Bombyx mori: one gene and its partner. The protein of the gene in region 1 interacts with the protein of each later gene in a biochemical or structural test. Links are inferred from orthologs where the notes say so. Each region holds a gene or a part of one and is shown in the gene's direction. Other genes may lie near its edges.

The links. The genes of interacting proteins can lie anywhere in the genome.
Region 2: the proteins of calmodulin (region 1) and myosin heavy chain 95F form a complex in vitro, tested with the Drosophila melanogaster proteins (2 studies listed by BioGRID). The link is inferred for Bombyx mori from reciprocal best matches to the Drosophila melanogaster genes Cam and jar.

What each region holds. Positions count from the first base shown.
Region 1 is NC_085129.1:673,647-680,889, forward strand, and holds part of calmodulin, read left to right. Parts: intron 1-5,121; coding exon 5,122-5,364; intron 5,365-7,151; coding exon 7,152-7,180; 3' UTR 7,181-7,243. UniProt on the Drosophila melanogaster protein: Calmodulin mediates the control of a large number of enzymes, ion channels and other proteins by Ca(2+). Among the enzymes to be stimulated by the calmodulin-Ca(2+) complex are a number of protein kinases and phosphatases.
Region 2 is NC_085115.1:731,041-739,075, forward strand, and holds part of myosin heavy chain 95F, read left to right. Parts: intron 1-870; coding exon 871-1,133; intron 1,134-1,207; coding exon 1,208-1,357; intron 1,358-1,783; coding exon 1,784-2,040; intron 2,041-2,125; coding exon 2,126-2,283; intron 2,284-2,377; coding exon 2,378-2,542; intron 2,543-2,620; coding exon 2,621-2,847; intron 2,848-3,436; coding exon 3,437-3,634; intron 3,635-3,698; coding exon 3,699-3,923; intron 3,924-4,000; coding exon 4,001-4,208; intron 4,209-4,533; coding exon 4,534-4,775; intron 4,776-4,926; coding exon 4,927-5,039; intron 5,040-6,150; coding exon 6,151-6,258; intron 6,259-6,518; coding exon 6,519-6,635; intron 6,636-7,015; coding exon 7,016-7,108; intron 7,109-7,632; coding exon 7,633-7,677; intron 7,678-8,035. UniProt on the Drosophila melanogaster protein: Myosin is a protein that binds to actin and has ATPase activity that is activated by actin. Together CLIP-190 and jar may coordinate the interaction between the actin and microtubule cytoskeleton.

The sequences.
Region 1 (7,243 bases):
AGTTATGCGTTTCGGTTTGAAGGGCAGGGCAGCCGTTGTCCTGTTAAAATTGAGACCTTACAACTCATGTCTCAAAGTGGGTGGCGGCACTTACGTTGTAGATGTCTATGGGCTCCGGTAGCCACTTAACAACAGGTGGGTCGTGAGCTCGACCACCCATCTAAAAAGAAATAAAATAAGATGTAGGTGTAGTAGCTTCAGGTTGCACCAGCGTAAATATTAGTCGGACAGACAAGAGACATTTCCGACAAATTATCTCAATTAGTCCCATAATTATGAATCCGCGGAACGGGCACGGCCGTTATTTATTACCACGTAATCGCATATAAGGAATGTGTCAGCGTTTCGTTTAAATTTACGTCGGTGACGCCATCTTGAATCACGCGTCCTTGTTGCCTCATTCGTAAGGCTTCGGAGCGACCGTATAATATCACATTAGCAAAGCCGTTGAATGCGAAATTGACTGATCCGACGTTTGCTTGTTATACCTGCATCTATCAAGTTACTATTATAATTTTATTGGGTAGACCGGCAACTTGCCCGAAAAGGGGGCGTACGTACATCCCGAGCAATTTGAATGTTATCATCGACATAGAGACACTTGTCAGAATATCGACTGCTCTTCCGGTCGGAAAGTGCCGGAACGTATGCATCATAAATAGATAATCTGTGATAATAATACGTATGGGTCTATCACACTTCAGGAAGACAATTTACGGCTAGTAAGAGTACTATTTGAATTTATTAACCGAATCAAATACTTTTCAAATATTTACGGCTGTATCTGTAACGAGCTTACCAAGATAACGAGAATTAGTCATAAGTGTTGAGTGAACCAACCGGGTGACTGCTTTTACGAATTCTGATTAAAACGATATCTTAATCGCTACAGCTTAACATTGATTACGTAATTTTTTACTACTTAGTATGGTTTCAATCTTAAAACTCAACCGCGAATAATGTAATAAAAATATTTAATTAATCTGACTCGATTTTAATTGGAGGTCCGGCCTTATAGGATAAGGGGCTTGGTGTTATCGAATGAAGCGTTGCGACAATGCTGCAGGTGTACAAATACCCTACCAGATATTCCTTTGACTTCCACGATGTAGGAATAATAACGCGTATATAATAAAAAATGTGTAATTACTGTTAGTAGGACGTATTGAATCACGGACGGGTAGTTACTGCCATTCTGTCTATTGCTACCGTAAATAAAGGGTGGGACAACTGTTATATAGAGCTATTGAGACTTCGAGCTAACGTCTTGAGGTGGGTGGTGCATTCACGTTATGATGTCGATGGGTTCCGTTAATAACACAACCGCCGGGAATCGTTCAATTCTTAAATTGCATTGGACATTTAGAATTATCTAGAATTATGTTTTCATCGCGACAGTATAGGCAGGCTATGTGTGAGTTCATCTACGTTTATAACTGGGAAAATTTTACGTGCCGGCTTAAAGCGTGGGCGCGCTGTTTATATGGGCCATGCACGCCGTTGCCGAATGACTCCATCGAGCTTACCCTCAGTTGACCTGCGTTTACGATTACCGATTTGATTGTGTGGCATTTATGGCTTAATTGCCCCATGCTTTTGACTTTACAGTCGTATTTAAGGATTGTGGCTTTACAAACATTGGACGGAAACAAAGGTTCGTATTGTCATAATTTTAATGGGAATCACGTGTCGCATCACTTTGGTAGATAATATTATTTTATCTGATTTGTAATTGTGTTAACCCAAAACAGAAACAACCTTAATAGATGCTGAATAAGAGAACAGAATACTTTGAATCTGAACAAGTATTGAATTCACTTGAATAATTCCTTATTTTCACAAGTTTAGAAATGTCGTTAAAAAAACTACAAATGTACTTTTAGAATTCGCCAGGGTTATAATTGCTCCCCGCGCACCTATTTAAAGTTCTATGTGGTCTTGCTTCTCTGAGGAAGAATAAAATAAATTTTATTGACCATTAAATAACATGTGCATTCCATTGTAAAATGTACTGATAATTTGAACAAACTACTCACTTACTAATAAAAATGTTATATATACATATGTATTATACTTATCAACGCTAATAATGAAACTAAAAATTATTAAAAAAAAAATTAAAATAATGTTTTAAACCGCGGTTGCAGATACTCTCAATACCTGACGCTGAAGAGATAAATTTCGAAGAAGAAAAATTTGTAATAAATTATATAAAATACACGCAATCAGTATAATCATTAACAGTAATGACTGTTTTCATAATCTAAGTGTAAAAACCTAATATGAATCGCAATATTTCGATGATATGTTTATTGTGTCAGAAATCAAAACAAACCTAACTTCTTAGTGACGCGGAATGCTGTGTGAACCATGCAAAAATAATAAATACGACGCCATCGGCGCTGGGTTCAAGGAGACAGAACCGTTGTTGCTCCCACACGCTACAGAAACACAGACTGAAACAAATATCATAACACATCGCCGTCTGTGTTTATATGTAAATACAAGAACGGCCTACTCGAAAGGTTGAAATGCAACGGAAGATTCGATTCGAGGCTTGTTTTCGCGTTTGTACTAATGTTATCAAAATAACAAGGATATTTGACTCACAGTAATAAATTACAAAACATTTACTATGTATCCATTTGAAAATGTGTATCTGAATCATTCACACGATCAATCCGTTTCTCATACTGAACCGGATCGATAGTAAACCTGTCGACGTAGTCATTAGTTAACGGTTGACAACTGACAGTAGTGTCCCAGGTGGCAAGACACGGAATGCAAGATGCAGTGTGTGAAACGCTCGTGTATTTATAGATCACGAACGAACCGCCTCGCAAAGGTTGACCAGAATTAGAAAGCCAAACTTAACTTGCACTTATTTTTGCAACGCGGCTTGGCGAGCGTTCACCGTTGTCACATTGAAATGTTGATTCTATCAAAAAGCTAGACAACTGGAATCGCCATTATAACTTTAGATACTTTGACGCTTCAATTCGCGTATCTTCACCAATTTATCTGGTTTATTTGTACACAATAGCCATCATTAGGTAAACTGAGTGTTATAAGTAATCACCAATGGACAACATTGCCACAAGACAAAAACGTAATGTGTACGTTTTATCATTTAAACTTGACATTCACATCCGATCATATTATTATTGTTTTAAAAATGCCAAAGCGACCGCATAAAACAAAGTGCATTGAATTTTCACAATTGCGTATTATTATTTCGAGTAGTCTAATGATAATTCGAAGATTATGGGATTAGATTTTATAGAATAGAAAATAATGTTTCTTGGAATGTTTCGACATGTTAATATTAGATATTGTAGCTTCACTTAGACATTTTAATGAGCATAAACAGATGCGGTTATTGGGGCTCATAAATTATTGGATTTCCCGTTCAAACGCATCCGACAGCTTGTTGATGTTGAGTAACGCAAGTTTCGCGATTTTATATTCAACTGATCGTACTAGTTTGAATTATTTATGACGCTTATTATCATATATATATTTTTATTACCCTTGTAGGCTGACAAGCATAAGGCCCACCTGATGGTGATGGTGGTTACCATCGCCCATGGACGTCAGCAATGCCAGGGCCAGAGCCAAGCCGCTGACTACAATTTATTATCATATTATGTAATTAGGTGTACGATTCTATGTTTGATCCTTTATGTTTATTTTGCTTGTGTGTAACGAACGCTACACAAATAATTATTACTAAAACCTCCCTACAAACGCGTGCTAACAACTTATCTATCGCTTTAAATCCTGTATTCAAATTTTATATTTCGGAGTTGTTTAAATAGCCGTTACTTTTCTATTCTAGTTTTCTAAATACGAAATGGTGTACTCATTTTAGTAGCTATTTAAAGACACTGCTTCATAATTTAACGTTTCAAAACTATTGACAGTAATAGATATGGTTTGGTGTTAAAACGTGCATAAATTATTCACAAAGTCCAATTTGTTTTGTACTACGACCCACGCGATCTATTTTATGATTCGTGATCGAAATCTTTAAGCTCCATATACTGCCAGAATAAATATAGTTCCATCTAGCGAACTAGGAGAACATGCCAAATACAATTTACTAGTGTACGTAGTGTACTTGGTCAGACTGTTGACTACCAACAAAAATATACAATCTAATGTTCCAATCTGAAGATCATTAGAATCGACTAACAATTTGAACTTCGAAACTAACGCACGTTCTTTGCCTTGATTATCATTCAACACCAGCTAAACAGATTGGAAGTCTGACTAAACTACCACCAAAAGTAATATTTGGGCTGCCGTTAACGAACTCTAAACTAATCCTAAATTACACCGCCTTTTCAACGATATTTGAGACTGACTCTTAATGCAAAAGTAAATGCAGTGTAATTCCGAGTGTTGTTTTCGTATTTATTATACGAAGAAAAACTAGTTGTTGATAACAACACGTCTTGCTTAGCGAAAGTCCCGAGTCACATCGTAACACGTTACGTGTCGTCTGATTTCACTTTGTTTTCTACCGATGAAATGTTAATGCATTATAGAAAATTGGGGTTTCTTTGTTTAAAATGTTTCTCGCCTCGTGCTTTTTTTCCCCGAAAGTCATTACTCGGACCCTGAACATTGTTTTGGAGTCCCAATTAATACAATTGCATTAAAACTGCTCAATAAATAGCACAATCTAATAATATTCTGTAATCTCTTTCTTCCGTACAACGTATTCAAGTCGCTAGTTTACAGGATTGCGTTGAATCACACAAATCGTCCTAATATTTTAAAACTACCCACAAAGCGTATTTTTACAAGACAACAGAACGACTAATACGAATTAACGTGTTAATAATGTTGTTTTATGCCGCGATAAATCCATCACTGTGGACACCTGGACACGTAGAAATCTTCCATACATCTTTATAAATTGACTCTGGAATACTCCAGGGCGCATCTGTTGTCGATCCGCTTTGAACACAGTGTTTTATTTTAAACACCAATGGTTCGCAATAATATTGTCCATCATGTTTGATTTCTCAACGAAGTTTTGAACGTTAGATTCGCCATAATGTACATACTTTGATTTTCACAATAATGCTAATTTTAATAATCGTTGAATTTCAGGAAACGGCACGATAGACTTTCCCGAGTTCTTGACAATGATGGCGCGCAAGATGAAGGACACGGATAGCGAGGAAGAAATCCGCGAGGCCTTCCGCGTCTTCGACAAGGACGGCAACGGCTTCATCTCCGCGGCCGAGCTGCGCCACGTCATGACCAACCTCGGAGAGAAACTCACTGACGAGGAGGTCGACGAGATGATTCGCGAGGCCGATATCGACGGCGACGGCCAGGTCAATTACGAAGGTGAGCTCTCCGCAGAGTAGTAGTAGTGTTCACGCTTCCAGTCTTGTACACCTGAGCAAAACCAGTGAATAGATGTGCCCTTTGTTCCTGCTTGTAGTGCATCCAAGTTTGGTGGTTCGCTAAGTGTGTTCCATCCGTTTATTGAAAAATGATTTCCGATTACGCGCTCCAGAATAGTGCGCTTTGAAATGGTTAATGGTTTTCGTTCGCATTATTTTACATTCATAAACCTGTCGAAATCGCCTATTTGTTAGTTTTGCTCTGCTTGTCTGTCATTTGTATGTGAATGAATGTACAGGCTGTGCTTTTTGAAGTGATTTTCACAGTAAATTTGAATACATTAATTAGTCGTGCAAACGTATAACTTTTGTTTGTACGAATGTCTAGTGTGATTTTCGCTTTGAACACAGCTTAACAAATATTTTGGGATCTTTGTTTTTATTCAAAAATGTCAGTAGTATCGGATCCCAAATTGTAAATGTGATTTGGGTCTTCGTTACGCTGTTATTGTAGCCATTATTGATGTGAAATAAACGTAATGAAGGCCCTGCCGGAAATGAAAAGATACAACTAGACGTGTTGTACTACGCAAGCACCTCTCGAAGTAAAGCGGGCGCGCAGTGAGGCTCGGTCCAGCATGTCGATAGACCCCACCGCACGAACTAACGCCAACCGTCGTGCTTGCCCGCCCCAATGCTCCGCCATTTATTTATAAACTGACTCGACATTATACTTCTCGTAAAATCATTTTTGCTCAGTAATCCCACGCGTCGTGTAGACTTGATTTACGAACACCATGTTCGCGTTGATCTCTTTGAAAGCGAGACGTTGATTAATTTATTGAGTTATTGTTTGAAAGCGGCGGTCGGGCGGTGCTCGAGGAGCCGCCCGCCCGGCCGCCGGCGCTTCGCATGTGCCGCCTGCGTCTGTCTGCATGCGTCTACTGCCGGCCAGAGTTGGTGGACCGTATCATCCGACCGAGCGTTCTCTCTCTTGCAGACTTCCATGCACTCGCCCAAATCATATTCGGTCGCGGCGAGGGCGGCCGCTAGCGCTCGCGCACCATCCGCAATCGTGATATTAGTACACTAGCATCACTAGCATCACTAGTGTCCATAAGAAAAGACTACGATAACGCTGTGATCTCGAAACGATTTCCTCTTGTAGTGTGTAGCGATCGGTGCGATTGTCGGACGGCGTGCGGCGAGTGCGGTGCGATTATAGGTATACCCCAGTCTTAATCTGAATGGTTTGCTGCTCGTCATTACATGTACCTGCCTTGGACACGTTAGCCGCTCCCCGCTCTCCGTCCCCCTCTCTCCGCCCCCTCTCTCTCTCTCTCTCTCGCTGTTCGTCGATCCTGTCTCGCGCGGGGCACGGTCGACTCTTTCCTATTGATTGGTGCATGCGTCTAATATTTGTATATAAGTTTTTCCAAGAGAAATACCACCTGGCGATATCGAGGGGCGCTTCCCGCCGCGTCGCGCTTACGTCAGAGGGTGGTATTTCCCACAGTCCCTTGTAGTGGCATGCCGAGGTAACGTTTATGTTCCGGTACGTTGTTAGCGCGCGCCGCGTCGGACTCACCGCCTCCGCTGATCTGTCCGATAGCTGTTATTAGTGCATCTCTATCACTGTCGGTTATTTTTTCGTTGTGTGTAATATTTTTGTGTTAACACTCTTATCTTAGCCACGTCACGTTATGCGAGGTGGGTCCGCGTGCGGCCGCGGCGCGTGATGATGCCCCAGGGCGACTTGTAATGCCTGCGTTCTGCTTCTGTTTTCAGAGTTCGTCACCATGATGACGTCGAAGTGAGCCGCCGGCTAGTGTGTGTGTAAAAAGCAGAGAATTTAAATATACATTTTGTTTCATGACACA
Region 2 (8,035 bases), on another chromosome or scaffold:
AATATTTGCTAACACTGGCCCTAGCAAGAGCAGTGCTTGGCAGAACCTACCACCGGATCGGAATCGCGATCCACTAGAAAGATCCGGTGAGAAACCAAGTGGCTCGTCGAACTTTTCGTTGTGATCGATGAGTCCTGTCAAATCTGAATGAGTATTGGGGGAACGCTATATCATTATTATGCGTAAGTAATGAAGAATTTTAGTAGGAACTAGAATGTATAGGTTTACGCAAAAAACGTAAAAAAGGATTGTGTGATTTTATGAAACTACGGTAAAAGTGAAACTTTTTTCGCATTACAGACATTTAACTCTGACAAACAACATTTACATTAAACACTGACAAAAACAAACAAAATAGCGTGGAGCACTGGCACAAATGAGTAATAATCTATAATACACTACACGGTCAGCTGCTGCGAACTATAGGCGCCGCCATATTGGCCTTGGCTGCTCTGACGAGCGTCTTTCACCTTATCCCTACTCCGCGGCCGACCGTCACGCGACATGCAACACACAGACGAAACAGTTTGAGACGATGTAATAAAAGTTTTACTTTAAAATTTGTACCCAGACTCCCTCTCCCGGGTTTCCAAACTTATAATAAACTAGCTGTACCCGTCCGCTTCGCTGGGCATTTAAAATTAACATTATTATTTATCACCCCCCCACAGAGTCTTATCATTAACGCCCCCGCAACTGGTGTAGGGAGTCCAACACTCATATAAATATTCCTATCCATTAAGTACATGTATTTTCTACATGGATACCAAGTTTCAAGTCAATCGGATGCATGGTTCAGTAGTTATAACGGAACATCCATAAAAACCACTGTAGATTTATATATTATTATAGAATAGATGATGTTTTCAGCGAACCCTATCCTCGAAGCGTTCGGCAACGCGAAGACGACCCGCAACAACAACAGCTCGCGCTTCGGCAAGTTCATCGAGGTGCACTTCAGCGGCGCGTGCAGCGTCACCGGCGGACACATCTCGCACTACCTGCTCGAGCGCTCGCGCGTGTGTCGCCAGGCGCCCGCCGAGCGGAACTACCACGTGTTCTACCTGCTGTGTGCCGGCGCGCCGCCCCCCCTGCGCACCTACCTGCGCCTCACCAAGCCAGACGACTACTACGTGAGTCCGCCGCCCCCCACCCACCCCTGCCCCCCCTCACAGCTACAGCTGCTCACGCTCATTGTTCCCGACAGTACCTCAAGAGCGGCTGCACCCAGTACTTCACTACGCCGGACTCGGAAAAGAAGATCAGCGCCGACCGCAAGAGTAAAGATCACCTCGCCAAGGGCGGGCTGCGGGACCCCATACTTGACGACTATGAAGATTTCCAGAGACTTAATCAGGTGAATGTTTAACCTGTTTTCCTTGTGTCGGTGACGTAAGAGTGATTTCTCGGGGAGTGTCTCTGGAACGCGAGCTGGTTGGAACGTGCAAGCAGTCCACACCGGTGTCTGCTGCACCGTACTCGGAGGGGACCGTGCTTCTGCTTGCAGGGTAGACCGCGGGATCCTTCCAGCGTCAATTAAAATCATTCTAGGTAACGAAGGGTTTCCACAGAACGGGTGATTTGCCGCGTGGTCTAATTGATAAATTGAAATGATATCAGGTAGTGCGGGAGGACGAGTCCCTCCTCAGAAATGCAGCCGACATTAGAAAATTATTAAAAAATCCGATTGCACAATCTGAGAGTGCCTAGTGAAATAGTTTTCATGTAAATCATATGATATTTTATTTGAAAAGAAATTAAGCTTAAGTAATGCTTCATTCAGGCGCTGAGTCGCGCCGGCTTGTCGGAGGAGGAGAAGCGCGACGTGTTCGGGGCCGTGGCCGGCGCCCTGCACCTCGGGAACATCACGTTCGACGAGGAGCCCGGCGCGCGCGGGGGCTGCGCCGTGCACGCACACGCCGAGCCCGCGCTCGCCGCCGCCGCCGCCCTCTTCCACGTCCCCGCCGACATGCTGCGCCGCGCCCTCGTGTCCCGCCTCATGCAGAGCGCGCGCGCCGGCCACAAGGGCACCGCCATCATGTCGGTACCGCCGCCCCCCAACCCGCCCCGCCTCCGCACCCGCCCCCGCGCCCGCCCCTACAATGAGTCGTCCCGCTGTGCGCAGGGTCCCGCTGAAGCCGCACGAGGCGTGCAGCGCCCGCGACGCGCTGGCCAAGGCGGTGTACGGCCGCGTGTTCGAGCACGTGGTGCGCCGCGTCAACCGAGCCGTGCCAGCCGTCGCCGCGCCCTACTACGTCGGCGTGCTGGACATCGCCGGCTTCGGTACACCTGAATATCAACTAGTTTTGGGATTGATTTATTGTTTCTTAACTCCCGGATCTCGTTCGTATTCGTAACGTGTTCTCTTCTGGCGCAGAGTACTTCGAGATGAACAGCTTCGAGCAGTTCTGCATAAATTACTGCAACGAGAAACTGCAGCAGTTCTTCAACGAGCGCATTCTCAAGAACGAGCAGGAGCTGTACAAGCGGGAGGGACTCAACGTGCCCCACATACAGTACGTCGACAACCAGGACTGCATCGGTACGTGCGCCGCCCCCCTCGCGCCGCCCCCTCGCCCTCGTCGCCGCATCCACATCACTCAACACGCGTCGTTTGCAGATTTGATCGAGAGCAAGAACCACGGCATATTCCACTACCTGGACGAGGAGTCCAAGCTGCCCAAGCCGGAGCCGTCCCACTTCACGGAGTGCGTGCACCGGGAGCTGGGCGCGCACAGCGAGCGCCTGCACGTGCCGCGCTCCTCCCGCCTCAAGGCGCACCGCGAGCTGCGGGACCACGAGGGCTTCCTGCTGCGACACTTCGCCGGCGCCGTCTGCTACAGCACGGTCAGCGCGCGCACGCACACGTACATGCACATACACGCACATACACGTGCACGTACAGCAACGTGCACGCACACGTACACGCACATACACGCGCACGCACACACGTACACGCACATACACGCGCACGTACAGCAACGTGCACGCACACGTACACGCACATACACGCGCACGCACACACGTACACGCACATACACGCGCACGTACAGCAACGTGCACGCACACGTACACGCACATACACGCGCACGCACACACGTACACGCACATACACGCGCACGTACAGCAACGTGCACGCACACGTACACGCACATACACGCGCACGCACACACGTACACGCACATACACGCGCACGTACACACACTTGCACGTACACACTCGCGAACGCACTCACCCCCGCACGCACTCACATACGCGCGCACGCACATACACACACGCGCACCCGCACACACAACGGCATGCGCACAACACAAATGTCCGAACACGAGCCCAAGTCGACAACGATTTAAATAAAAATTCAATTGATTTGTTCTGTGTCCCAGTCCAGTGGCACACAGAGACCGGTCGGCCTTTAAATGTAGACTTCCGCCGACAGGGGCAGTTCATCGAGAAGAACAACGACGCCCTGCACGCGTCCCTGGGCGTGCTCATGCAGGAGTCGGACAGCGCCTTCGTGCGCGAGCTGTTCGAGGAGGCGGGCGCGGAGCCGGCGCGGGGCCGCCTCGCCTTCCAGTCCGTCGGCGCCAAGTTCCAGGCGCAGCTGGCGCAGCTCATGGACAAGCTCGGCAAGAACGTACGTCTCGCGCCAGTATCCCGTCAGCAGTCGTAGGCCTCGTGTGACGCCGCTTGTGTCGCAGGGCACGAAGTTCGTCCGCTGCGTCAAGCCCAACGGCTCCATGCGGGGCGGCGCGGGCGAGGGCGGCCTGGTGCTGGCGCAGCTGCAGTGCAGCGGCACCGGCGCCGCGCTGCAGCTCATGGAGCACGGCTACCCCTCGCGCGCCCCCTTCCTGCACCTGCACCACACCTACGCGCCGCACCTGCCGCACCAGCTCGCCAGCCTGTCGCCCCGGACCTTCTGCGAGGTACGCGCCGCCCGCGCACCCACCGCCGCGTGAGGTAGCTTTGAGTCACAACGATTGCAAGCGTGCTGCGTGTGCAGGCGATGGTGCACAGCCTGGGGCTGTCCGACAAGGACTTCAAGCTGGGCGTGAGCCGCGTGTTCTTCCGCCCCGGCAAGTACAGCGAGCTGGACGCGCTGCTGCGCTCCGAGCCGCACGAGCTGCAGGCCGTCGTCAAGAACGTGCTGACGTGGCTCGTCAGGTCGCGCTGGAGGAAGAGCATCTTCGCTGTGCTTTCCATTATCAAATGTGAGTACTCACTGTGGTGCGTTTTAGTTGCCGACGCGTCCTGGAAGGCGATGCTTAACTTCCGCGAGTCCACCACCCTGCCGAGGCGAGCGGTGGAACAAAAGAGGGAAAGCTCATTTCTCTGCGTACCGAGCCGTCCCCCGGGCTTTGTGTCGGACGGAGATCAGATGTCGCTTAGTGGGTGGGTCTTTAACATGTCCGGCCATCGATTCTCACACGCACCGCGCGCCTCTGAGACGTAGGAAATCTGTAGAAGGACCACACCAGGTCTGATATAAAAAAGGTCGAACAAACAAAAAATGCGAATACAAATGTACTTTTGCAGTGAAGAATAAGATAGTGTACCGGCGCTCGTGCCTGGTGCTGATCCAGAAGTGCGTGCGCGGGCACGTGGTGCGGCGCCGCCACCGCCCGCGCCTGGCCGCGCTGCGCCAGCTCGCCGCGCTGCGACACAACCTGGTCGACATGCGGCGCGCGCTCGCCAGCCTGCGCCCCGCCCCGCCCGCCGCGCACCCCGCGCTCGACGCGCTGGCCCGCCGGCTGGACGACGCCGCCCGCGCCGTCAAGGTCCGCATCTCAATGCATGACTGCAGACTTTCTATTGCTATTTAAACCTAATGGGACTAATTTTAATTTTATATAACTCATTATCAATAAATTTTGTAACGTGGAAGTGTACTGGGTGTCGGGCCGACGACTAACTGACTGTTCCCAACAGGACAACGAGCACATGTCCCGCGAGCAGCTGGACAGCATGCAGGCCACACTGTCCAAAGAAGTCGAAGTACAGATGAATGCGATACAGAAGGCCGTAGTCGAACAGAAGAACAGGTAGGACCCCGCCCGACCCCCGCGGTACCCCCGCCCCCCGCGGTACCCCCGCCCCCCGCGGTGCCCCCGCCCCCCGGCGCGATTCTTCCTTACACCCTACAGTGAGGAAGAGTCGACTTTTTAGCGCATCTGTTATGTGACAACAGATTGTTGCGTTGTGACGTAATCTATTCTGTATTCTAATCGCGGCATCCAAAGTATCACTATTACACGGAACTCTCCCGAATTTTCTAGGACATTTCCATATTTCTATGTCCGTTGCTGCTATGTGACGCCAGGTGGCGTTGATCGTAGCGGTGCAATATTATTGCGCCAAATCTCAATCCGACGCTTTAAAATGGGTGATATCACGTTCTAAGATTCCGTTACGCGGACACACAGAGACAATAAAAGCGCTTAGATCTTGCTCATCACTGACGCCGATGTTAGAGTAACTGTTATCTGTCGACTAACTTGCAAATTCGTCTTATGCTTTTCTTAATCTAACTACTAAACACCCCTTTTCGATAAAGCGGCACGACACAAAAACCCTCTCATAGTGGCTCAATCCAGTAACGGTGCTTTTAGGTACCTCAAGCACCGGTCATCGTTCTCGTCGAACCAGTCACTTGCGACGAAGGGCTCGACGAGTAAATTAACCCACTGAGTTTCTCGCCGGATCTTCTCAGTTTTCGATCCGGTGGTAAATTCTGCGAAGCACTGCTCTTGCTAGGGTTCATGTTAGTGACAAGGTCAGGTTTGAGCCCCGTGATCTTATCTACTAGCCCGACGACACTGATATGGTCTCTCAAGACCATCAGCTTAGGTAGAAAAAAAAAGTAAACGAAATCGGCGCGACGTGTCTTCCTGTGTGAGGATTGAGCTACGGCTTCACGGCTGTTCCCCTGTGTAACGGGGACCTCCGAACGTTATGCGTGAAAGGGCGAGCGTCTCTGTGCTATACCACCACGTAACACAATAATGTAGGCAGGAGAAGGTCATTGATAAACTGACACCTGTACTAAATGAGTTCGAGGAATCTGCTGGCAACAGCTAAAGGGTTCCCGCATCCGAATCCCGGATTAGGTGTTGGTGAAGCGGTAGTACTGACTCGATAACGTTATCGTTGCAGGGAGGAACAAGAGAGACTTCGCAAGATCGAAGCGGAGATCCGAGCCGCCGAGGAAGCGAAGCGCATCGAGCAGGAGAAGATCCGACAGGAGGAGGAGAACAGGAGGCTGTGGGTTTCAACTCTCTGAGTACATTCTGTTATTTTGCGAGATGAACCAACCCCCCCGACGGACTCCCTTGCCCCTGCCCCCGGTCCTCCTGCCCCTGTCCACTGGGCTCCCTGCCTCTGTTCTCTGTGTGGTGCTGAAACTTAGACCGCTAGATTGGTCATTCTTTATGACGTACATATGTGGTTCAATATATACGACCAACTTTGTTAGCAAATAAACTTGCTTCACTTGATCCAGAATATTCGTTGTCGGTTACCAGGAAAGCGGAGATGGAGGCGCGGCGCAAGGAAGAGGAGCGTCTGCGTCACCAGCAGCCGGCCGACGTCGCCGCTGACGTCATCGACCCGCTGCAGCAGGACCGCACCGACCGGGACCGGTAACTGCGCCTTTCACTTGTGATTGTGTCTTTCACGAACGATCACGAACTTTTTTTTCCTACCTAAGTTGATGGTCTAGACTCTGGGGAGATCATGTCAGCATCACCGGGCTAGTAGTTGAGCTTACGGGGCTCAAACCTGACGATGACGTCAAACTTTAATTAATTTTAGTTTAAATAGTTTGAGCACTAAACCTAATGACAGTTCAAGACGGTGCTCCTCCAAGGAGATCTCAACTAAACAATCTTAAAAAATTAGATTTATATCTCTTTACATCAGAATATACGTTCTAAGTACAATTTTCTAACAATAAAAGTAAAACTCGAGGCACAAATGAAACAGTATAGTGATGCGACACTAAGGCGACTGTCGTGTGCAGGCTGGAGCAGGAGCGCCGGGACCACGAGATGGCGCTGCGCCTCGCCCGGGAGACCAACGGACACGTGGAGGGCTCCCCGCCGCAACTGCGCAGGTGCGCCCCCACCCCCTCCCCCACACAACAACATAGGCTCATGTCGACGAGCCGTCACGGTCCCGCGAGCCGGTGTGCGACCTCTTCCTGTACATAGCTTCCAGCTGGACACTTCGCACATTAGGCCGTTGACTAAAAGATGAAGAATATATATTTTGTTATTCGCGTAGATAGGAGACTTGATGTTAAGCGACTGCCGATGCCCGTAAACATCACGTCGTGGATTTGTCCTTCGAGACAGGGACAGAAGTGTCACTCCGTTGCGAGCCGAGAGGGCCGGCCCAACTTTCAACCTCGTCTCTGGAGTCCCGCGTTAGCATTCCGATGTGTATTGGCTCTACCTATCGGTCGATAACAAAAGAGAAGTTAAACTTCTTTAGGTACAGAGAGCTATTTCCATAACATTAGCGACATAAGTAATTGTGTTCACATTCGAACCAGTAAACAGAAGTTGAACTTCAAAGTTAAAGTCGGTAAACCCGACAGTAGAGCGAGATTGTAATGATGTGATGTATCTCGCACAGCTTCCCCCCGGCGGAGGCACTGAACGGAGAGAATAAGTTGAACAGGTACTGAGTGGGGGCGAACCCCAAACGCTCCCCGTGGGGCTCCCTTGACGTCTGCGCCGGTCCTTGTCCCAATGACCCTCACTGGGTCGGCTGACCTCTAAACAAGTACGAACAGTACTGAGGACAAATGTCATTATATCTTTTAAATAACAGTCCCTAAGTGCTCCATAACAAAGACGTGTTTGGTTAATCTAACACTACTTTCATGATGGGTCACTAAAACTTTACCCTGTAATCGCAAATAAATAAATGAAAATAGTGAACCCTGACGGGTAGTGTACATGGGGCGAAGTGTAGGAGTCCGGCGCCGACGCTGCGGGAGCCCCGCGCCGCTGTGCTAACCCTACCGGCGATGGCT